Caenorhabditis elegans: one gene and its partners. The protein of the gene in region 1 interacts with the protein of each later gene in a pairwise test. Each region holds a gene or a part of one and is shown in the gene's direction. Other genes may lie near its edges.

Region 1 (7,852 bases):
GTAATCTTTAAAGGCGCATACCTTTTTTTCTTATTCCTTGAACACAATTTTGTCGTGGCGAGACCTGAAACAGGGGTTTTTGCCTTAAAAAATCGCGAAAATGTCGATTTTTCGCCAAAAAAAGCTGAAAATAGTTTAAAATCCCATTTTTATTCAAAAAATTCAGAAAAACAGGGATTTTCGCCTTAAAAATCCGGAAATATGTCGTTTTTTCGCTTTTTTTGCCAAAAAAAAAGCTGAAAATATATTAAAATTGCATTTTCCTTTAAAAAAATCAGAAAAACAGGGATTTTTGCCTTAAAAAATCGGAGAAAAGTCGTTTTTTCGCTCTTTTTTAGCCAAAAAAAAGCTGAAAACAGTTTAAATCCCATTTTTATTCAAAAATTCAAAAAAACAGGGTTTTTTTGCCTTAAAAAATCAAAAAAAAAGTCGATTTTTTCACTCTTTTTTGCCAAAAAAAAAGTGCTGAAAACAGTTTAAAATCGCATTTTTATCCAAAAACTCAGAAAAACAGGGTTTTATGGCTTAAAAATTCGGAAAAAGTCAATTTTTTCGTTCATTTTTAGCCAAAAAAAAGCTGAAAACAGTTTAAAATCGCATTTTTATTCAAAAATTCAGAAAAACAGGGATTTTCGCCTTAAAAATCCGGAAATATGTCGTTTTTTCGCTCTTTTTTGCCAAAAAAAAAGCTGAAAATAGATTAAAATTGCATTTTCCTTTAAAAAATTCAGAAAAACAGGGATTTTCGCCTTGAAAAATCGGAAAAACATCGATTTTTTCGCTTTTTTTTGCCAAAAAAGTGCTGAAAATCCCACCACACTGGCTGTGTCGTAACCACCACGACTGTGAGCCACCACGTAGATGCTCTTAGCATTCGATGGCTCAATACACGCTATCCAGACAGTTTCAGCGTGCTCGACAGGTGTGCGGGAGTACTGAAAATCGATTTTTCAGCGAATTTTTCGAAATTTCCCGGGTTTTTTCACACCTTCAAATCCTGATCTTTACTTTCATTCAAATTAGTGTTCATCACCACAACACCCCATCCATTTTCAATAGCTCTTTCGATATACGGAATCTGAGTTCCACACTCCAAATTATCATTGATAATGAGTCTACGAGCCCATTGTCCGGCTCTGACGACACCGCTTCCGTGGATCAATACTAGAAGATTTGCAGCTTTTTTGAAATTTTTCGACACAAAAATGAAGCTTAGATCCTCATCCTCGTCGGTTTTTCCTGGAAGTTTTAGCTGAAAAAAAATTTTTTTTTTTGATTTTTAAATTTTTTTTTCCATTTTTTAAAAATTTCTTAATTTACCGCCTTTCTCTTCAGCCCACAACGTGTCTCCAGAAGCTCATAAACTTCCAGATCAACTGCTTCTCCCAGTTCTTCATAATCCTCCTGTGTAGTGAATTTGAAGGGTTTTTTGTCCTTCTCCGTTTTCAGCACGCCTTTTTCGTCGAAAAAGTACCCGAGTTTCGCCAAACTTGACATTGTTCACTGAAATTTATTTGAATTATTCGCAAAAAAACTGGTTAGAACAGAGAAAATTTCCGAAAAAACAATTTTTAAAATTAAAAAAAAAAAAAAATTTCCTGGCCGCGACCGAGGTTTCTCTCGTCCACACGGCGCAATCGCGCTCTGTTGGCAATCTGGCACAATGCCAATATTACACTGAATTTATATTTTTGCACGAAAAACTCTGGATTTAAAGTCGATTTCGCCTGTTTTCATTGGTTTTTTTCGTTTTTTCGTTTTTAAATTAAATATTAATTCAAAAAATCGATTTACAACGTATTTTACAGCTTTTAATGGCTCTGGCGTGCACCGACTCTGCAAATTCCACATTTTCACGTGTCGACTCACCGACTTCCGGCCCATCGGACCAGCTAACAACTCATGACTTGGATCGGTAGCAGTTTTGATATAAAAACAATAAAATATCAACAAAAAAAAAATATTTTCAGCCACATAGAAAAGCTGATGAGATGTGAGCTCATCGCGGAGCAAGATGTCAAAACACTTTGCGCAAAAGCTCGTGAAATCCTAGCGGAAGAGGGCAACGTCCAGGTTATCGATTCTCCGGTGACGGTTGGTTGGATAAAATCGATTTTTAAATCAAAATTTCCATTTTAAATTCTATTTCCAGATCTGCGGAGACATCCACGGCCAGTTCTACGATTTAATGGAGCTCTTCAAAGTCGGCGGACCAGTGCCGAACACCAACTATTTGTTCCTCGGAGATTTCGTGGATCGAGGCTTCTATTCTGTGGAGGTGCCCCCGCTTTTTTGCAATTTTCCTGGCGAAAAAATTGCAAAAAAAACTCCCAAAAAATCGATATTTTTCCAGACATTCCTTCTACTTCTCGCACTGAAAGCTCGCTATCCGGATCGAATGATGTTGATCCGTGGAAATCACGAAAGTCGCCAGATTACTCAAGTCTACGGGTTCTATGATGAATGCCTTCGGAAATATGGAAATGCGTCTGTTTGGAAACATTGTACCGAAGTTTTCGACTACTTATCACTTGCCGCTGTAATTGATGGGAAGGTTTTCTGTGTTCATGGTGGATTATCCCCGTCGATTAGTACTATGGATCAGATTCGTGTTATTGATCGGAAGCAGGAGGTAAAACGCAAAAAATATGCTGTTTTTAATGGAATTTTGCTTTGAATTTCGGTTAAAATTCGGTGAATTACAATTTTTTAAATTTCCGGCATTTTGCCGAATTTGCCGGAAAGTTTTAAAATTTTCGAAAATGAAAATAACCGACAAATCTGCAAATTGCCGGAATTTAAAAATTTCCGGCAAATCAGCAAACCGGCAAATTTGCCCAAAATGAAAATAACCGGCAAATCGACAAATTGCCGGAATTAAAAATTTCTGGCAAATCGACAAACTGCCGTAATGAAACTTTCTGGCAAATCGACAAATTGCCGAAAATGAAAATAACCGGCAAATCGACAAATTGCCGGAATTAAAATTTTCTGGCAAATCGGCAAATGTTCGAATTAAAAAATTTGTGGCAAATTGGCGAAATTGAAAATTTCCGGCAAATCGAAAAATTGCCGGAATTAAAAAATTCCGGCAAATCGGCAAATTGCCGTAATTAAAAATTTCTGGCAAATCGGAAAATTGCCATGTTTAAAAATTTTCGGCAAATCGGAAAATTGCCGAAATTGAAAATTTCCGGCAATTCGTCAAATTGCCGGAATTTAAAAATTTCCGGCAAGTCGGAAATTTGCCGAATTCGCCGGAAAAACGGCAAATTGCCGGAATTAAAAATTTCCGGCAAATCGGCAAATTGCTGGAATTGATAATTTCCGGCAAATCGGCAAATTGCTGGAATTGATAATTTCCGGCAAATCGGCAAATTGCCGGAATTTAAAAATTTCCGGCAAGTCGGAAATTTGCCGAATTCGCCGGAAAAACGGCAAATTGCCGGAATTAAAAATTTCCGGCAAATCGACAAACTGCCGAAAATGAAAATTTCTGGCAAATCGGCAAATTGCTGGAATTGATAATTTCCGGCAAATTTCCGGAATTAAGATTTTCTGGCAAATCGGCAATTTGTCGATCATGAAAATAACCGTCAAATCGACAAATTTCCGGAATTAAAATTTTCTGGCAAATCGGCAAATTGCCGAAAATGAAAATAACCAGAAAATCGGCAAATTTCCGAAAATTTCCGTTTAAAAAAAAATTTCCGTTTTTTTCATTAAAAATTTTTTTTTTTAATTTTCAGACTTTTTTCTAATTTTTTCTCATCAAAATCGACCAATTTAATTTTTATTTCATTTATTTCGATTTTTTCCCCGAAAAATACTAAAAAATTCAAAAAATAGTCTCAAAATCAGAAAAAAACCACAAAAACGCGATTTTTGTCTTCAACCAATCAGCGATTCGCTCCGCCCACTTTTCAACCAATCAGATGGAGTGGGCGGAGTTTGAGTTCTCATTTTGGAGGGAATTCAAAATTGAAAAATCTTTTTATTTTTCTGAATTTGATACTATTTCGGATATTTTGAAGCGAAATTTCAAAATTTACGTTAAATTTTTCGAGAAATCACTTTTTTCCAGCGGGGCGAAGGTTTTGCAAGTCTGCGGTTTGCTATATTTCGATTTACGGAGAATTTTGTAATACACACGGACAAGCGTCGATTAATTTTTTAATTTTTTCTAATAGTAAATTTACAGTTTTGGGCCATTTTTGCCAATTTTTTTTGGTGTTCAACATTAAAAATTGGGTCCATATATATATATTTTTTGAATAGTGTTTACAAAAAAAATTACAGAACTGAAGAACAATTCGAAAAAAAAAAAAAAACGCTTATCCACGTGTAGCACAAACTCCACCGTAAATCGACAGAAATCAAACCGCGCCGCAGGTTTGCAAAACCACCGTTCCGCCTCAAAAATTGAAAAAAAAATCAATTTTTTAATCAAATTTTGTTCGTTTTGATAGAAAAACGTATAAATTTGTGCTAAAAAAGCGAAAAAAAATTCTGAAAATTTCCAGGTTCCCCACGACGGTCCAATGTGTGATCTACTGTGGTCGGACCCCGAAGAAGGAAATGTTGGATGGGGCCTAAGTCCACGCGGAGCCGGTTATCTATTCGGAGCGGACGCGTCGAAAACGTTTTGCGAAACGAACGGAGTCGATTTGATCTGTAGAGCTCATCAATTGGTTATGGAAGGATATAAATGGCATTTCAACGAGAAAGTGCTCACTGTTTGGTCGGCGCCCAACTATTGTTATCGGTACGGGATGGATTTGGAAAAAAAACGGAAATTTTTTTTTCGTGAAAAAGACGAAAAATTAAAATTTTTGGTCACTTTTTTATCATTTAAAGTATAATTTTTAGGAAAAAATACAATTTTTTTCTGAAAATTTGAATTTTCCCGCTAAAATTTGTTTCCAAAAAATTTAAATTTTCCCGCCAAAATTTGATTCCAAAAAAATTCAAATTTTCCGGCCAAAATTTGTTTCCAAAAAATTTGAATTTTCCCGCCAAAATTTGTTTCCAAAAAATTTGAATTTTCCCGCCAAAATTTGTTTCCAAAAAATTTGAATTTTCCGGCCAAAATTTGTTTCCAAAAAATTTGAATTTTCCCGTCAAAATATGTTTTTAAAAGAAAATTTAAATTTTCCCGCCAAAATTTGTTTCCAGAAAATTTGAATTTTCCCGCCAAAATTTGTTTCCAAAAAATTTAAATTTTCCCGCCAAAATTTGTTTCCAAAAAATTTGAATTTTCCCGCCAAAATTTGTTTCCAAAAAATTTGAATTTTCCGGCCAAAATTTGTTTCCAAAAAATTTGAATTTTCCCGTCAAAATATGTTTTTAAAAGAAAATTTAAATTTTCCCGCCAAAATTTGTTTCCAGAAAATTTGAATTTTCCCGCCAAAATTTGTTTCCAGAAAATTTAAATTTTCCCGCCAAAATTTGTTTCCAGAAAATTTGAATTTTCCCGCCAAAATTTGATTCCAGAAAATTTGAATTTTCCCGCCAAAATTTGTTTCCAAAAAATTTGAATTTTCCCGCCAAAATTTGTTTCCAAAAAATTTGAATTTTCCCGCCAAAATTTGTTTCCAAAAAATTTGAATTTTCCCGCCAAAATTTGTTTCCAAAAAATTTGAATTTTCCCGCCAAAATTTGTTTCCAAAAAAATTTACACTTCCCGCCAAAATTTGTTTCCAAAAAATTTGAATTTTCCCGTCAAAATATGTTTTTAAAAGAAAATTTAAATTTTCCCGCCAAAATTTGTTTCCAGAAAATTTGAATTTTCCCGCCAAAATTTGTTTCCAAAAAATTTGAATTTTCCCGCCAAAATTTGTTTCCAAAAAATTTGAATTTTCCCGTCAAAATATGTTTTTAAAAGAAAATTTAAATTTTCCCGCCAAAATTTGTTTCCAAAAAATTCAAATTTTCCCGCCAAAATTTGTTTCCAAAAAATTTGAATTTTCCGGCCAAAATTTGTTTCCAAAAAATTTGAATTTTCCCGTCAAAATATGTTTTTAAAAGAAAATTTAAATTTTCCCGCCAAAATTTGTTTCCAGAAAATTTGAATTTTCCCGCCAAAATTTGTTTCCAAAAAATTTGAATTTTCCCGTCAAAATATGTTTTTAAAAGAAAATTTAAATTTTCCCGCCAAAATTTGTTTCCAAAAAATTTAAATTTTCCCGCCAAAATTTGTTTCCAGAAAATTTGAATTTTCCCGCCAAAATTTGTTTCCAAAAAATTTGAATTTTCCCGCCAAAATTTGTTTCCAAAAAATTTGAATTTTCCCGTCAAAATATGTTTTTAAAAGAAAATTTAAATTTTCCCGCCAAAATTTGTTTCCAGAAAATTTGAATTTTCCCGCCAAAATTTGATTCCAGAAAATTTGAATTTTCCCGCCAAAATTTGTTTCCAGAAAATTTGAATTTTCCCGCCAAAATTTGTTTCCAAAAAATTTGAATTTTCCCGCCAAAATTTGTTTCCAAAAAATTTGAATTTTCCCGTCAAAATATGTTTTTAAAAGAAAATTTAAATTTTCCCGCCAAAATTTGTTTCCAAAAAATTCAAATTTTCCGGCCAAAATTTGTTTCCAAAAAATTTGAATTTTCCCGCCAAAATTTGTTTCCAAAAAATTTGAATTTTCCGGCCAAAATTTGTTTCCAAAAAATTTGAATTTTCCCGTCAAAATATGTTTTTAAAAGAAAATTTAAATTTTCCCGCCAAAATTTGTTTCCAGAAAATTTGAATTTTCCCGCCAAAATTTGATTCCAGAAAATTTGAATTTTCCCGCCAAAATTTGTTTCCAAAAAATTTGAATTTTCCCGCCAAAATTTGTTTCCAAAAAATTTGAATTTTCCCGCCAAAATTTGTTTCCAAAAAATTTGAATTTTCCCGCCAAAATTTGTTTCCAAAAAAATTTAAACTTCCCGCCAAAATTTGTTTCCAAAAAATTTGAATTTTCCCGTCAAAATATGTTTTTAAAAGAAAATTTAAATTTTCCCGCCAAAATTTGTTTCCAGAAAATTTGAATTTTCCCGCCAAAATTTGATTCCAGAAAATTTGAATTTTCCCGCCAAAATTTGTTTCCAAAAAATTTGAATTTTCCCGCCAAACTTTGTTCCCAAAAAATTTGAATTTTCCCGCCAAAATTTGTTTCCAAAAAATTTAAATTTTCCCGCCAAAATTTGTTTCCAGAAAATTTAAAATTTTCCCGCCAAAATCACGTAGTGCCAGAGTGTCCCATTTCGGTTTGATCTACAAAAATGCGGGAGAAGTGACGCACTGATTTTGCATGATTAAGAACGTGTTGACGTCACATTTTTTGGACAAAAAAATCCCGCATTTTTTGTAGATCAAACCCAAAAATTTGTTTCAAAAGAAAAATTGAATTTCCCGGAAAACTTGAGCTTTTTTTGCAGTAAAAAAAAACTTAATGAAAATTTTCCAGATGCGGCAACGTGGCGGCAATTCTCGAGCTCGACGAGAATCTCAACAAGGAATTCACAATTTTCGAAGCTGCTCCACAAGAAAATCGCGGAGCACCGGCCAAAAAACCGCACGCCGACTATTTCCTCTAATTTTTTCTCGAAATTTTCTCGAAATTTCTTTCTCGCCCAAAAATTCCGAAGAATCTCCCCCTTTTATATCGCCGAAACACCATTTTTTTCCTTTTTTTTTTGCTCCCACAAAAATATTTCAATATTTAATTATTATTTTCCACACACACACACACATTTTTCTGTAAATGTCCACCCCCCTCCAAATTTTACGGATTTATTTTTTTTTCGACAAAAAAAAGTATTAAAATTTATTTCATGCTATTCATTTTTAAAACCGATTTGATTTGAAA
Region 2 (8,013 bases), on another chromosome or scaffold:
TATTAGACTTGTATCTTCTGGTTCTACTTTGGCAGAATATATCTCGGTTGCTTTAAATTTTATCAATAAATTGTCAACTACCAAATATGTACCAAATATGTCTCTATATTTTGGTTGTAGAGAATTTTTTGATAACACTTGAGACAATTGGAAAATAGGCCGTCAAAGTAGAGTAATTGTGGTGCAGACTTTGTAGGGAAAATACGGTATGCCTCAGCTTTAGTACTGGACGGCGATAATTTTAAACTATTTTTTTACAGGTTTCAATGTTTACAAAACTTGTTTACTGACAATGAGTTCTTAATTTTTTTACCACAGCCCAACATTAAAAATGCAAAACCTTAGCCAGCACGGAACATTTTCGTAGAACTATTTGATCACTTGTACCTCCAATCTTGTCATCATTCTCACCCATAAATGAAAACAAAATGTTAACAATGTCTTATTCTCCCCCTCTTCCAATTCCCTCACTAACATCTCCTCATTTTTCCATTTCAAATCATTTCTCTCTTGTCCTTGACTGTGATAATCGGCCACTTCCTATGAGGTAAAAGTAGTCGTCATCTCTTCTAAATTCTCTCGGAATACGCCTATACGCCAAGCGCATCATTTCAAAAAGTGAAGCGCGCAGAGAGAAAAAAGAAGGAGGAACGCAAATAGCAGCTCGTTTTTCGACGGTTCGGCAACAAAATGGGGGCGGAGCAATTGGTGGGGGCGCTTCTCAGGGCCTCTGCCTCATCGACCCCCGGCGCAACAGACCGTCCTCACAATACCCTTTCGGTATTCTGTAGGAATGCTTGTGTGTGTGTGTCTTTCCGATTTCATTTTTTTCGCTTCACTTTTTTACTCCGAGCAGAGCAGGAGCACTGTGTCTTTTTCTACTTTTATTCACTCCACCCCAAAGTTACTTTAAGCTTTCTAAACTATCGTGAATGAGTAACCGAATGGTTTAGGATTTCAAGTAGTGTCAATTAGAACTTGGTCATACAATTACTCAATAAATTTCCAACTTTATGACTCACTGAACACCCACATGTTTCTTCACATCTTTTGCTAGTTTTATTATGATTTTAAGTTTGAGTCAACAAGCTTTAGGTATGAAAATATGAATACTAAAATTAAAAAAAAAACAGCAATTCATTTTCAAAATCATTCATAAAAGTTGAAAACTTTACGAAACAAAATGCAACATAAATTTCGCTGTCCCACTTTTTTTAGAAAGTTTTTCAGATCTGAACAATTAAGTCTTTAAAGGAGATAGGCATGAAATCATTCCTTTTTGCCGGCTTTCGTACTTGGTTGCATCCTATTTTTCCTGTGAATTCTAGTAGGTTTCGTGCCTACCTAGAAGGTTTTTATTATTTTGCGATCATTTCACGTTGCTCGAAAAAAACAATTATAAGAAGCATTTACTGTAGTCTGCAGAAATAAAAAAAAATCAAGATAATCTTTTAAAAAAATCATGAATAAAATCATTTAACTTCCATCATTTTCTCGTCATTTTCCACCCAATTCTTGCAAATTTCCCTGCACAATGCGCGAGAAATTCAATCTCTATTGTTCTTCCATCTAACAATTCTCCGGAATGTGCTTGGGTGTTTCAATTTGTTTGACAGGTTAACGTTGACTCACCATCATGTCCTTCCACCCATATTCAATTCTGATTTCCATGAACAAAAATGGGCGTGTTCAGTCACTCCTCCTCCACCTTATTTGTTTTCTGTTTTTTTGTGGAGTGTACTCAAAAAAATGTTGAACATATATATGAGTGTGTATGTTTGTTGAAAACCGGCCACGCTTATTTGGGTTTTGATAAGGAACAAATTGGATGCCGAAGGATGCAGAAACATTTTTTTTTATCATATTGTTGTTTTAAGGTTTAACACTTTTTATTAAAATTTGTAATTGTTACTTTTTGCTCAGTTTTCTGTATTTTCCCAATTCAGCTTCTATATTTTCAAAAAAAAAATTTCAGGTAGCGTCAAACTTCTGAAAGAAGATGTCGTCTCACAAGGAATCTTCCGAGTACGAGATGCAATACAGATCCACCATCCAGCCAAGAACAGCGGTTCGCTCTCAATCACGTCAGTCTGGAAACTACGTGTCTGGTGGAAATGGAGCAGGATCCGGAGGTTAGTTAGATTTTAAAAAAATTTAAAGTTGAAAACGGTAAAGATTAAAAAAAATTTCAGCTATTACTATATCCTTTCCTCTGAAAATAATCATCAATACCAGGAGCATTTCTTGTTTCAAATTCTTGATTTGAAATCCGGATAGTTATATATCTTTTAAAAAAATTTCCTACTGAAGTCTAAGCTTCAGAGATCACTCAATTTCCAACGTATTTTCTATACTTTCCTGTTAGATTGAGAGTTTCAGAATATACTTTTATTTTTTCAAAAGTAGTAAACCTTCAAGCTATTTTTCTCCTGGACCGGTCTTATAGATGACCTTAATTCAAGTTGACACTATACATCCGATCAACTATTAACTGAACCAATATTCCAATATTCTTTTTTCCTTTCTTTCTCTATTTCTCTGTTTACATGTTTATCCGTCTACTACCCATCCATAATTATGTATTTGAATTCAAAGCGAATTAGTGAACAGTCGCATCAATCGAACCGAACACTTTATTCTCTCTCTCTCTCTCTCGTTCATCCGATTGCAAAAAAATAGTTTGGGTGGTTTTATTAATCAATTGGAAGATGAAGTAAATATTGGTTTTTGCTGTGCTATACAATAGAAATGAGGATGGAAATATAGACCTGGAGGATGAAAAGAAAATATAAAAACGAGAAAAAGAGAGCAAGAGTCGTTATCAGTGCGAACGCGTTGATTTGTTCTTGGCTAAACGAAACGTTTTTGAGAAAGGTGAACAGTTTGGTAGAGGATAATATTTTGAGCAGGGATTTTACATTTTTTCTACTCGGAGTTGATCCAAAATCTTCTGCTTAAAAATATCACTTAAAATCAATTATTTTCGAAATTATAAAAGTTAAAAGATAAAAAGTAATACTTTATGCCTTTAAATGCAATTTTTAATTTAATGAGTTTTCTTAATATTTGCTCACTTGGCAAGAAACCACACTTTTTCATAGTTTAACAAAAATCTAGAAACAGGTTTTTATGAAGTGAAATTTCTGTGAATAAATGGGGGAATTCCTCAAAAATTAAACAAATATTAATATTTTTGGAGTTTTGAGGCAAAAATGGGGAAAATTTGAAATTGGCAATTTTAGCATAAAATGTCAGGATAATTAAAACTTCAAAAACTGCAGTCGAAATATATTTAATTAAAAGCTAAAAACAGTTTTTAACAGTAAAAATTTGAAATTGAAAATTGTTTGTTAAGTCAGAGATTTAGGTACGTAAACTTACTACATAGTATTAGCTTCTTATAACTTGCCGTAAGCCTACGCACGTATCTGCTGCCTAAACACAAGTTATCTTTTATGTTTGTAATTTTTAGTTGTTCTTTGAGCAAGTTAACTCACTGTGAAAATAGAAAATAGGCAGGCATTACCATAACAAAAGAAAAATTGTTCTTTTTTATTGTTTTAAGCAAATCTGGAGATCAAGATCAAAATATAAGACCACAAGATTTTTTTCCGGCAGCCCATATCGTTTCCTATTCAACCGTCATTAAATCCACTTTTTCTCATCCAAAAAATCCCATAAATCTCTGGGTTTTCTCGTCTCTCGATACAGTCTCACAATTAGCATAATCACTGAGGAACGCCCTTCATTTTCAAACCAAAAATCTATTGAATTTAAAAGTTCAAGTTCCATCAAGTTTATAGTGCATGACAGAAAGAGTTGTTAGGCAAATAGTCTTCAACTATGCATATACATAAAAATGGCAACATTTTTGGAAATAAAATGCAAAAAGCAAATAACAGATTGAAAGAGGCACCAAAATTTCAGACAGTTTTAAATACAATATTTCAATTTTCGTAACCAGTTGAGATAACATGTATAAAAAGATACATTGAGCCGATTAAGTCAACAAAATGTTTAGTTTGTTGTTTCTTGGGCACACTTTCCGCCAGCCGGCTGACTGCTCAACACACTTGAAAACTTGACGGACTTTGAAGAAATCCGAGCTTTTATTGATTTTATTCATCATTTATTTTAATTTTGTTTTTTTTTGGGTAACGAATTAAAATTAAAAGAATCCCCTGAATAACTTTTAATTTAGAATACAGTTACGAAATAGATGAGAAATAGGTGAGAAAGGAAGGAATGACCACACCCAAGATGTGACTATTTTGAATGATGAGAAACTGAGACATGGAAAACACCCATTTTTTATGTGTGATTAGTCATTTAGTTTTAATGAGTGAGAATTGGGTGGAACAGTGACAAGAACTTATTATACTGATTATCACTTGATTTATGAGATCTTCTCGGATAGAATCTCGGATTTCTCCGATTTATTGCAAGATGGTGTAGAGTTTTTTTTTTCAATTAGAAATGTCCCATCTTACATTTAAGTTGTCAAAACTAATTTTTTAACCAATTTTGTTCTAACTTGAGATAAGTCAATTTTTGCGGCCCGTGTTTCAAGATTCTTAAACTTAAAAACATTTTTGAGGACTGGAAATGATGTTTTTCTTAATTGAATTTCTATCAAATTGACAAAAATAAAACAGGTACGTTGGCCTAAAAATAAGCCTTCCTACCATTAGATTTAGTTTCTGAAACAAAAATATCTCCCTTACCAAAAAATGTCAAAAATGGAATCCTAGTTAAATTAATTAGCTTCCCCGCAATTTAAAAAAGATAACAAAAATGAATGATTGAGATCTGATCAAGATGATTATCTTTAGTTGACTCCGCCCACAACAACCTTGACGTATTCTTCATCTTCAATTTCTAAGTAAGTAGTGTCTTGATCTCTTTCCACTTTTCTTCCAATTTATCCATTCATTCATAGGCACAGTCAACTCGCAATCTGTACGTATGTGTACATGTCCGTTGTCTTCAACTTATCACCATTATATCTTCTTCTCTTTCTCCATTTTCTATCATCGGTGATGATCGGGAAGGCAAAACCATTGACACACCTTCATTCTTTTTCTCTAAGTTCTCCACAAATTTAATGCTATTTCTTCGTTGGGTGGAGTATTCAGAAGAGGGTCAGAATTGGTCGACGGTTTCCGTTATTTTGCATAGTGTTTGTGACACTTACATTTAGTTTCTATACCATTTGTTTTTCATTTTTCATTCAGAAATTTTCGAACTTGTTCCTCATTATTTTTTTTCCCTTAATCTTCTAGAAAAACTTTAAAATTTCAAGCTAAAACACATCAGAAATGGAGGCTGAATCAGCGCCACAGGCACCAATGTCAGGAGGTAAGAATAGAAGAATATCGAAATATAAATTCCCAATAGAAATATAAAAACACTCAAATCAAATCTAATCTCCTAATTATCATTATAAAAACGTTCAGGACGCGTGCTAAAGATGGTGACAGAGATGGGATCAGCTACAGTCGGAGGAATTTCACCGGCCTTGTCCGCAAACGCAGCAAAATCGTTCCTTGAGGCGACTGATAAGGAAAAGAAGACACTGCAGGGACTCAATGATCGTCTCGGAAATTACATTGATCGTGTCAAGAAACTCGAAGAGCAGAACCGTAAATTGGTTGCTGATTTGGATGAGCTTCGCGGAAAATGGGGAAAAGACACATCCGAGATTAAGGTATTTTAGTGAATTTCAAATAAATTTTAAGCAAGCTTCTGCAAGCAAAAAACTGAAGTAGTTGTAGAAAAAACATTTATTATTTGATTGTGAATCAGTAATTTCTATTTAGATATATATTCGAAACTTTCAAGATTTTATTTACTATATTAGAGAATTCTCTCAAACATCCTTAAAATCTTCAACTTACCAGAAGAAAATCTGTGCGCTTCCTGTCCAGTGTTTTTTTAAAATTTCAACCTATATTTTGGAACAAACTTCTTAAAGCTTCTTTCCTATTCAAATTGTTAATTTCAGATCAAATACTCCGAATCCCTCTCAACAGCTCGTAAGGACATTGACGATGCTGCTCGTAGAAAGGCAGAGGTTGATGTGAAAGTTGCCAGACACCGTGACGACTTGGCTGAGTACAGATCCAGGTTTATTTATTCTTAATTTTCTGTTGCTTATCAATATTTATTCAGATACGAAGATATCCAGCAACGCCGTGAGTCCGATCGCGAGAAGATCTCCCAATGGACCAATGCTATCGCTGATGCTCAATCCGAAGTTGAGATGCTCCGTGCTCGTTTCAAGCAATTGACAGATGAGGAGAAGCGTGTTACAGCTGACAACTCGAGAATCTGGGAAGAACTTCAGAAGGCCAGAAGCGATCTTGATGATGAGACCATTGGCAGAATTGACTTCCAAAATCAAGTGCAGACTTTGATGGAGGAGCTCGAATTCTTGAGAAGAGTTCACGAACAAGAGGTTAAGGAACTTCAAGCTCTCCTTGCTCAGGCTCCAGCTGACACCAGAGAGTTCTTCAAAAACGAATTGGCTCTTGCCATCCGTGATATCAAAGATGAGTATGATATCATTGCCAAGCAAGGAAAGCAAGACATGGAGTCCTGGTACAAGCTCAAGGTTTCCGAGGTTCAAGGATCTGCCAACCGTGCCAATATGGAGTCCACCTACCAGAGGGATGAGGTCAAGAGAATGAGAGACAACATTGGAGATCTCCGCGGAAAATTGGGAGATTTGGAGAACAAGAACTCACTTTTGGAGAAGGAAGTTCAGAACTTGAACTACCAATTGACCGACGATCAAAGACAATACGAAGCTGCCCTCAACGACAGAGATGCTACATTGAGAAGAATGCGTGAGGAATGCCAAACATTGGTTGCTGAGCTTCAAGCTCTTTTGGATACCAAGCAAATGCTTGACGCCGAAATTGCCATCTACAGAAAAATGCTCGAGGGAGAAGAGACCAGGTAATTATTATCGTTATTTAATCAATATTCCCAGCAAGCCAAATTTTGGGCAGTTTTGTTATCATTTTGTTCTAAAACCTTTCTCAAAAGTTTCAAAAATATATTTGCAGAGTCGGACTCACCCAAATGGTTGAGCAAGCCGTCAAGACGCATTCTCTCCAACAACAAGAAAACACTGATTCGACAAGATCAGTTCGCGGTGAGGTATCCACCAAGACCACCTTCCAAAGATCCGCCAAGGGAAATGTGACAATTTCCGAGTGTGATCCAAATGGAAAGTTCATCAAGCTTGAGAACTCGCACAGAAACAAGGTATGTTGAAGCTTTTTGGTTTTGAAATGTTGAAAATTTTATTTCAGGATGAGAATGTTGGTGAGCACAAAATCAGAAGAAAGTTGGATGGAAGACGCGAAATTGTCTATTCCATTCCAGCCAATGTTGTTATCAAGCCAGGAAAGAACTTGACCGTAAGTTATTTTTATCATTGTTTTAGAAAAAAGTGTGTAGCTATGTAAATATTCTTAGTATTTTTTTAGTCTGCCACTATATTTTTGAGAAACCCAGCCAACATAGTCTGAAGCCCGTTAAAAACGTACTTTCACCTGAAAATTTCCAAAAAAAAAATTTTGAAAGGGAATGGCCAAATTTTGCTAAAATCTGAAATTTTGTGAGATTGTCCATGTAGCAATATCGGAAAATCAGTTGTTATTTCTCTAATGCTCTTTATCAGAGTTACAGGTTTTAGAAATTTGAAAATGTTTTCCCCAAGTTTTGAGCCACCATAAGAAATTTGGAAACATTTTCTGAGAGGTCTCATTATGAAATTTAATCGTTTCGGGTTAGTCTAAGGGTTTCTCGCATTTGCTGAGAAACTAATCTACATAATTTCGAAAAGAGAATATTCCAATTCCAATAAATTTCCAGATCTACGCCCGTGACCAAGGAGGCATCAACAACCCACCAGAGTCTCTTGTCTTCGATGGAGAGAACACCTGGGGAATCGGAGCCAATGTTGTGACGTCATTGGTGAACAAGGATGGAGAGGAGCGTGCA
Region 3 (3,176 bases), on another chromosome or scaffold:
CAATTTATAACAGTAACAACATAACAGAAATGTACAAAAATGAAACAACAAAATGCATTAGTTTCGAGGAGTGTTTTACTCTTTTTCGTAGATTCGAGTGCATGTGACGTCATCCACCAAATTGTGATATACAATATGCAACTTTCCGTCGACAGTGAACTGGAAGAACTTCTTGATGATGGTGTGATCAGTCCGGTTTTTGAAAATGATGATGAGATGATTATTCTCGAAAGTCCAAGTTTCAGTGTGATCGGAATATTTCGTTTCATATCCAAGAAGAATTGTTGTTTCCTTGACAGTATCCCAGGTATTATCAATTAAAACGAATAATTTCCATGTCAAGTATTCTCCGTGGAGAGAATATCTCAGATGTCCATTCAGCCATTGACTCTTTCTAATTGGATCCTCAGGTTTTGCACAATGTGGGTAGTTGTGCAATGAAGAAGGTTTCCATGTTCCAACGATTTCCTCTTCAATCAGAACCATTTTCTAAAAAAATCGAATCAAATTCCAATTATTTTATATTTCCAGAAACAAACCTCTTTCTTCTCATTATAACCTTTTGCTCCAAGAGCTTTCATCTCTCTGTTGATTGCTTTGAACTCTTTGATAACTTCCTCATTGAAAAGTTCGGAAACATTTTGTTTCTTTTTCATCTCCATAATCTCGCCATGAATTGACTTCACGTCATTGAGAACTTCTTCTTTGTGAATCTTGAATTCTTGGTACTGTATCTAAAAATTAAAGATTATTAAAAAATTTCAAATTCAAAAATCAATCACCGATTCATTTTCATTTTCAGAATCCCTCTGGGTACTTTTCAATTCGGTTACTTCGACGCTCAAAGCTTGAATTGATTTTTTATCATTATCTTGATCGTTTCTCATCAATCGAAGTTCGTGATCTTGCAGCTTCTGCTCACTTTCCACATACTTGATTTCTGAACGCATCTCTCGAAGTTCTGTTTTGGTGTTCGAAATAAATTCTGCATTCGATGGCTCTGATGTCGCTGGCTGCTTCTGAATGTTCATCAAACTCTCATTGAGAAGTCCAATTTTCTTTTCTTGTATCGCTTGAACCTCCGATATTATTTCCACTTTTCGATCAAGCAAGGAAAAATGTTCGGTGCATCGTGGATCAACTGGAGGATCCTAAAACTTTTTAAACGTTGAGAACAAATTCACTTAATATTTACAAACCTGATAAAGCATATCAAGCATCTTCTCCGTGTCTTGATGAAGTTTTTGAAGCTTCGAATGTATATAATCCCGGAAATTCTCCATCTAGACGATTTCGTGTGTTGAGAACTCCAGTGAGCGCTGAAAATACGCGAATTTCAGTAAAGATCCTTTAAAATTATTTTTCTAGAAATTTATGAACAACGGAAGAAATAATTTTAGCGCAGATCGAATCGAAAATCAGCAGTACTCAGAAACAAAAGATTTTAACGAAAGCTGAGCAAGAAGGTTACTGTATTTCGTTAGGAGACCGTTTACAAAAATGAATGCGTGCGCCTTTAAAGTACTGTATACAAAGTTTTTTTCCGAAAAATGAATCAAAAATCTAGATTTATATCTGTCGATTTCTGATTGAATAATACGGTTTTAATTCTACTCTTCGCTTCAATAAGTCTGCTGGATTTTTTTCAAAGTAAGTATCAAAAATTATTATTTAAAAAAACTAACTTTCAAACCGTTTTAAATTTAGAACTACTCGAAGCTCGAAATTAGAAACAAAACTTTAAGAATTGATCTACCCGGTAAATATTCTAATTTCCAGATGTATTCTCTACCGTTCACCTTGTTGATCATTCCTTCTGCAACGACCACATTGCTTCCCTGCGCCTATTTCTTCTATATTCTCCACAGTCCAACTGAAAATGTCAACTGCTTCAGTTCTTGATGATATCGATTACGATTCGAGCTTCGAAATGGTCGAAGAAGAGAAGTTCGAGAAAATTGAAAATACTGACAACTCGGAGAATTTTCAATATGTTTCAACGAAAGGAAATACTGTTAAAGAAGTAAATATCAATTCGAATGAGAAGAAGAAGAAAGAGGTGAGATCAAGTTTTAATTGCTGGGGAATAGATTCACTTTTTCATTTTGCTGATGTAAAATTTTCAATTTTCAGGCTCCAATTCAAATCCTCACTGCCATGATCGGGAAATGGAAACTTGCATCCTCTGAAAATCTCCAAGAATATTTCACTCTCGAAAAGTTCCCGGAGATAACCCAAATGGCCTGGGAGCACGGAATTACTTGTTACAAGATGAACGGCAATCAACTTCATGTTCACACCGATTTGCTCGGAAAATCTCTGATTCCTACAATTTTCGAGTTTGATAAGCCAATTGCCAGGGACGACAATGCGGTTTCAACGCATGCAGAAGGAAACATGATGAGCACCATTTGCAAGAGGATTGCTGACGGATCGATTGTTTGGAAAGTGGAGAGACTCATCAAAAATGGAAATCTTGTGGTTTTCAACAGCAGAGGGAACTTTCGGTGCAAGAGAGTATACAAGCGTGTTAACTGAACAACTTATGATATTACTATTTTTATTCCATTTAACGCCGTTATTTTTAATTCGTATTTTCAACCAAGTTGACCGTGACAATAAACCTTTGATTTCTTCTTTCTCGATTGACGATTTAAAATTTGAAACTTATTTGCAGATGCGGAGAATTTTATAGGCATGTTTTACTTGCTTGGTTCGCGGAATTTGGCATTTTTTGGTACAAAATTTCGTTTCCGTCTCGACACGATCGGAAGCTACCGTAACCCGAAATATTCCACAATTTTTCACCCAGATCAGTCCGGGAATTGGATTTTAAAATACAAAAAAAGTTGTCCAACTGAAAACCTTTTTCTCTGGAATCAATCAGAGAGTATATAAAAGCAAAATATAAAATCAGTATATGTTTACTTGCCTACATGCCTACACGCCTACTTCAAGCCTGCCTGCCTACTTACCTACTTCAAGACTGCTTGCCTACCAACGTGCGTAGTTAATTGCCTGCTGTTCATACCTTTTGGACAATGACTGAACCAAAAAAACTTCAATTTATTTTCTTTGTAAAAGTAACAAATAAAAATGGAGGCACGTCTGCAGGCACACAGAAGGCCCCTAGAAGGCAAAGGCCGGCAGAATATCAGGCAGGAATTTTTGCGTCA
Region 4 (2,891 bases), on another chromosome or scaffold:
ATTTCCAACTACAGTACCCCACATGGTAGCTCACGTGGTGCCAGGCTGTCTCATTGCGGTTTGATCTACAAAAATCCAGGAATTTTTCCCCTAGCAAAGAGTGACGTCAGCACGTTCTTAACCATGGGAAATCAATTGAGAACTCTGCGTCTCTTCTCCCGCATTTTTTGTAGATCTACGTAGATCAAAAAGGAGACACTCTGACACCACGTGGTAGCTGAGAAGTTTTGTTCGTGCCAAGACCCAAAGCATGGATTTGATCGAAAAAATATTATGCCAGTCCGAGTTTTTAGTCGTAATCGCAACTTTTTGGGTCCTGCCGCGAACGTAACTTTCCAACTACAGTACCCCCACACGATAGCCAAATTCGTTCGTGCCAAGACCCAAAACTGGGATTTTGGCTAAAAATGTATTTTTTTTCAGAAGAAATTGAATTTTAACGAGAAAAATTGGTTTTTTTTTCCTGGAAATTTTCGAATTTTCCAAATTTCAAATTTCCCGATCTTTCAGGTCCATCTACCCTGCCTTCATCACGATGAAGCCCTATGACCCCTTCGTAAAAGCCTTCACACTTCATAAGGATCTCAACTGGAATCGAATGGTCGACTACTTGGAGGACGGTGTACACCCGGGCTGTCATCAATTGTCAAGTCCCTCCGATTTCCTCTTCGCCACCGGAACCCAGAAGCCTCTGGTCGTATTTTTCGACCCACTGGACTCTAAAAATTCTGAAGGATTCAAAAAATCTGCTGCCGAGCAGCAAAGCGGCGATCGAATTGCTCATTTTTCGGCTGTAACCGGTTTCGACCTGTTTGGACTGTATGTGATGAGCGTTTTTAATGTGAATTCCCCGAGCTATATTGTCATTCGGCGACAGGTACTTTCACTTTTTAACTTCAAATTAAATTCATTTTTTCCAGGAAAAAGGATGGTGCATCCACACAAAACCCGCTGAAAACGACAATTTCACTGGAATTCTTTCATGGGTTCGGAATTTGGAGCCAGTTCACTGCCAGGAGCTCATTGAAAACTTCAAGTTCCCAATTGCTCGTTTGAATCTGTTGGAGCGGTATGATGACGTGGAAGAGCTAGAGAAAGGGTTCACGGCCGTGGAGTGGACTAGGGACGAGCTATAGGAATTTTAAAAAATTGCTCTGTTGTAATTTGGTAAAAATAAATAATTTAATTTGTTTTAATTTGATGTTTTACAGATTAAAATTGCATTAAAAATTTATATTTAAGAATTAATTAATTTTCCCTGCTCGTCATTTTAAATGCCAGTTCCGCAGGTACACCGCCACGGTAGATTGCGGACAAAAGAATCCTTTTTTTAGCTGTTTTAAGGAAATAACAAGAAATTTCGATGAAAATTTTCAGTTTTAAGCTTTCATACTAAGATTTAATAAAAAACAGACAATTTTAATGTAGAATTGCAGGCGATATCCTAGTTTCCACACTGAAAATCACTTGCGCGTCAAATAAAATGCAAAGTACGCATTGACACCGTCACGTCCCATTGCACACAATTTCTCAATTATTATTTTTCTTTTTCGATCTTTTGATTTTAAATCTGAAAATGGACATGATCGAGCTTGAAAAAAAGATTTCTGAAATTGAAGAAGTTCTAGGAATCGATGATCTCACCACGGTAAGCTTTTTTCGCGCAATTTCCAATAAAAATGCCAATTTTTTTTCCAGAAAACATCAATTCCCTCTCAAATCGAGGCTCTTCAATCCAAATTACGAGATGATTGTAAGGCGAATCTGCTAATGTCGATTCCCATTCAAAAGCTGGAGCATTTGAGCAAAATCGCCACGGAAGTACGTTGGAAAAACTGAATTTTCTGTGAAAAATCGATTTTTCAGACATCCGGCCCATATGGATCGCTGACTGACAAAATAGAGTCTGTAAAATACGCGGAAAAGCTGATCAATGAACGAGCGGAACGGATTAAACAATTTTCAGATGCTCTTGAGGTCTTTTTTTGCGATTTTTCAGAGAAAATTGAAGAAAAATAAAAAATTTCAGCCCTGCCTCGACCAGGAGCTCTTCTCAAAAGTGGCTGCACTTCAACCGGAGCTTGACGCTGAAATCGAAAAATACGAGAAGGCCCTGGAGGACTGGACCAAGTAATTGCAGTTTTTAAAGCCTAAAAATCTGAAATTTCCAAAATTTCAGAACCTACGGAGAATTCCAGACACTTGTCGCCGAGCGGTCAATGATCAACCAAAAAATCACCGAAAAAGTGCTGGATCTGCAGACGAAAATCAACGCAAAAGCTAAATAATTAAATATTTTTTCGCTGGATTGTAATTTATTTTTATTTTCTTTGTTTTCCTGTAAAAATTGAAATTCTACAAGTTTTTTGTTAGACAGAAAGACGAATTGGCAGCAATTATCGACTTTTCGAAGTGGGCAAGATGATGACGTTGTTTCGGGAAATTGGAAAATTTGTTTTTTTCCAATTTTTTTCCTCGCAAGAAAAATAGTTTTCTCTCCATTTGAATTACTAGATTTTTCAAAAAATTTGAACTTTTCTCCGTGGAGCGCGCTTGCATTATTAGATTTTACGAAAATTTGAATATTTCTCAGTGGAGCGCACTTACACCTCACTTTTTTCCAAAATTTTTAGTAATTCTCGATGGAGCGCGCTTGCAGCAAGGTAATTTTCAAAATTTTCCCAAAATCTCTATGTAGCGCAGTTGTAATCCAAAATTACAGCTAATTACCAGTAGAGCGCGCTTGCATCAGTATTTTTAAAATTTTTTTGAAATCAATTATCAGTGGAGCGTACTTGCATCCCAATAAATTTCATATAGTGCCAGGCTGTCCCATTACAGTTTGATCTACAAAAAATTCGGGAATCAGCACGTTCTTAACCATGCGAAAT

Evidence for each region.
Region 2: the proteins of pph-4.1 (region 1) and ifb-1 interact in a two-hybrid assay, tested with the Caenorhabditis elegans proteins (one large-scale study listed by BioGRID).
Region 3: the proteins of pph-4.1 (region 1) and EEED8.3 interact in a two-hybrid assay, tested with the Caenorhabditis elegans proteins (one large-scale study listed by BioGRID).
Region 4: the proteins of pph-4.1 (region 1) and dnc-3 interact in a two-hybrid assay, tested with the Caenorhabditis elegans proteins (one large-scale study listed by BioGRID).

Annotation. Positions count from the first base shown.
Region 1 is NC_003281.10:12,345,293-12,353,144, reverse strand, and holds pph-4.1 (Serine/threonine-protein phosphatase 4 catalytic subunit 1), read left to right. Parts: upstream 1-1,808; 5' UTR 1,809-1,814; coding exon 1,815-1,915; intron 1,916-1,970; coding exon 1,971-2,094; intron 2,095-2,152; coding exon 2,153-2,278; intron 2,279-2,353; coding exon 2,354-2,632; intron 2,633-4,523; coding exon 4,524-4,765; intron 4,766-7,450; coding exon 7,451-7,580; 3' UTR 7,581-7,822; downstream 7,823-7,852. Other genes in the region: FAM172 family protein homolog Y75B8A.31, read right to left, coding at 816-935, 989-1,252, 1,321-1,497. UniProt on the Caenorhabditis elegans protein: Protein phosphatase which plays an essential role in meiosis and in early embryonic mitosis.
Region 2 is NC_003280.10:5,763,643-5,771,655, forward strand, and holds the start of ifb-1 (Intermediate filament protein ifb-1), read left to right. Parts: upstream 1-1,975; 5' UTR 1,976-1,999; coding exon 2,000-2,132; intron 2,133-4,579; exon of another isoform or gene 4,580-4,703; intron 4,704-5,302; exon of another isoform or gene 5,303-5,318; coding exon of another isoform or gene 5,319-5,358; intron 5,359-5,456; coding exon 5,457-5,707; intron 5,708-6,004; coding exon 6,005-6,126; intron 6,127-6,171; coding exon 6,172-6,960; intron 6,961-7,070; coding exon 7,071-7,272; intron 7,273-7,319; coding exon 7,320-7,427; intron 7,428-7,884; coding exon 7,885-8,013. UniProt on the Caenorhabditis elegans protein: Cytoplasmic intermediate filaments provide mechanical strength to cells. Essential protein, involved in attachment structures in epidermal cells that connect muscles to the external cuticle. Required in morphogenesis and epidermal integrity.
Region 3 is NC_003280.10:5,412,732-5,415,907, forward strand, and holds EEED8.3 (lipocalin/fatty-acid binding family protein), read left to right. Parts: upstream 1-1,544; 5' UTR 1,545-1,650; intron 1,651-1,779; 5' UTR 1,780-1,879; coding exon 1,880-2,059; intron 2,060-2,133; coding exon 2,134-2,538; 3' UTR 2,539-2,639; downstream 2,640-3,176. Other genes in the region: EEED8.14 (MATH domain-containing protein), read right to left, coding at 76-489, 540-734, 783-1,151, 1,200-1,283.
Region 4 is NC_003280.10:3,552,260-3,555,150, forward strand, and holds dnc-3 (DyNactin Complex component), read left to right. Parts: upstream 1-1,520; 5' UTR 1,521-1,576; coding exon 1,577-1,648; intron 1,649-1,698; coding exon 1,699-1,821; intron 1,822-1,866; coding exon 1,867-1,977; intron 1,978-2,029; coding exon 2,030-2,130; intron 2,131-2,179; coding exon 2,180-2,288; 3' UTR 2,289-2,358; downstream 2,359-2,891. Other genes in the region: W10G11.19 (DUF4105 domain-containing protein), read left to right, coding at 511-877, 921-1,136.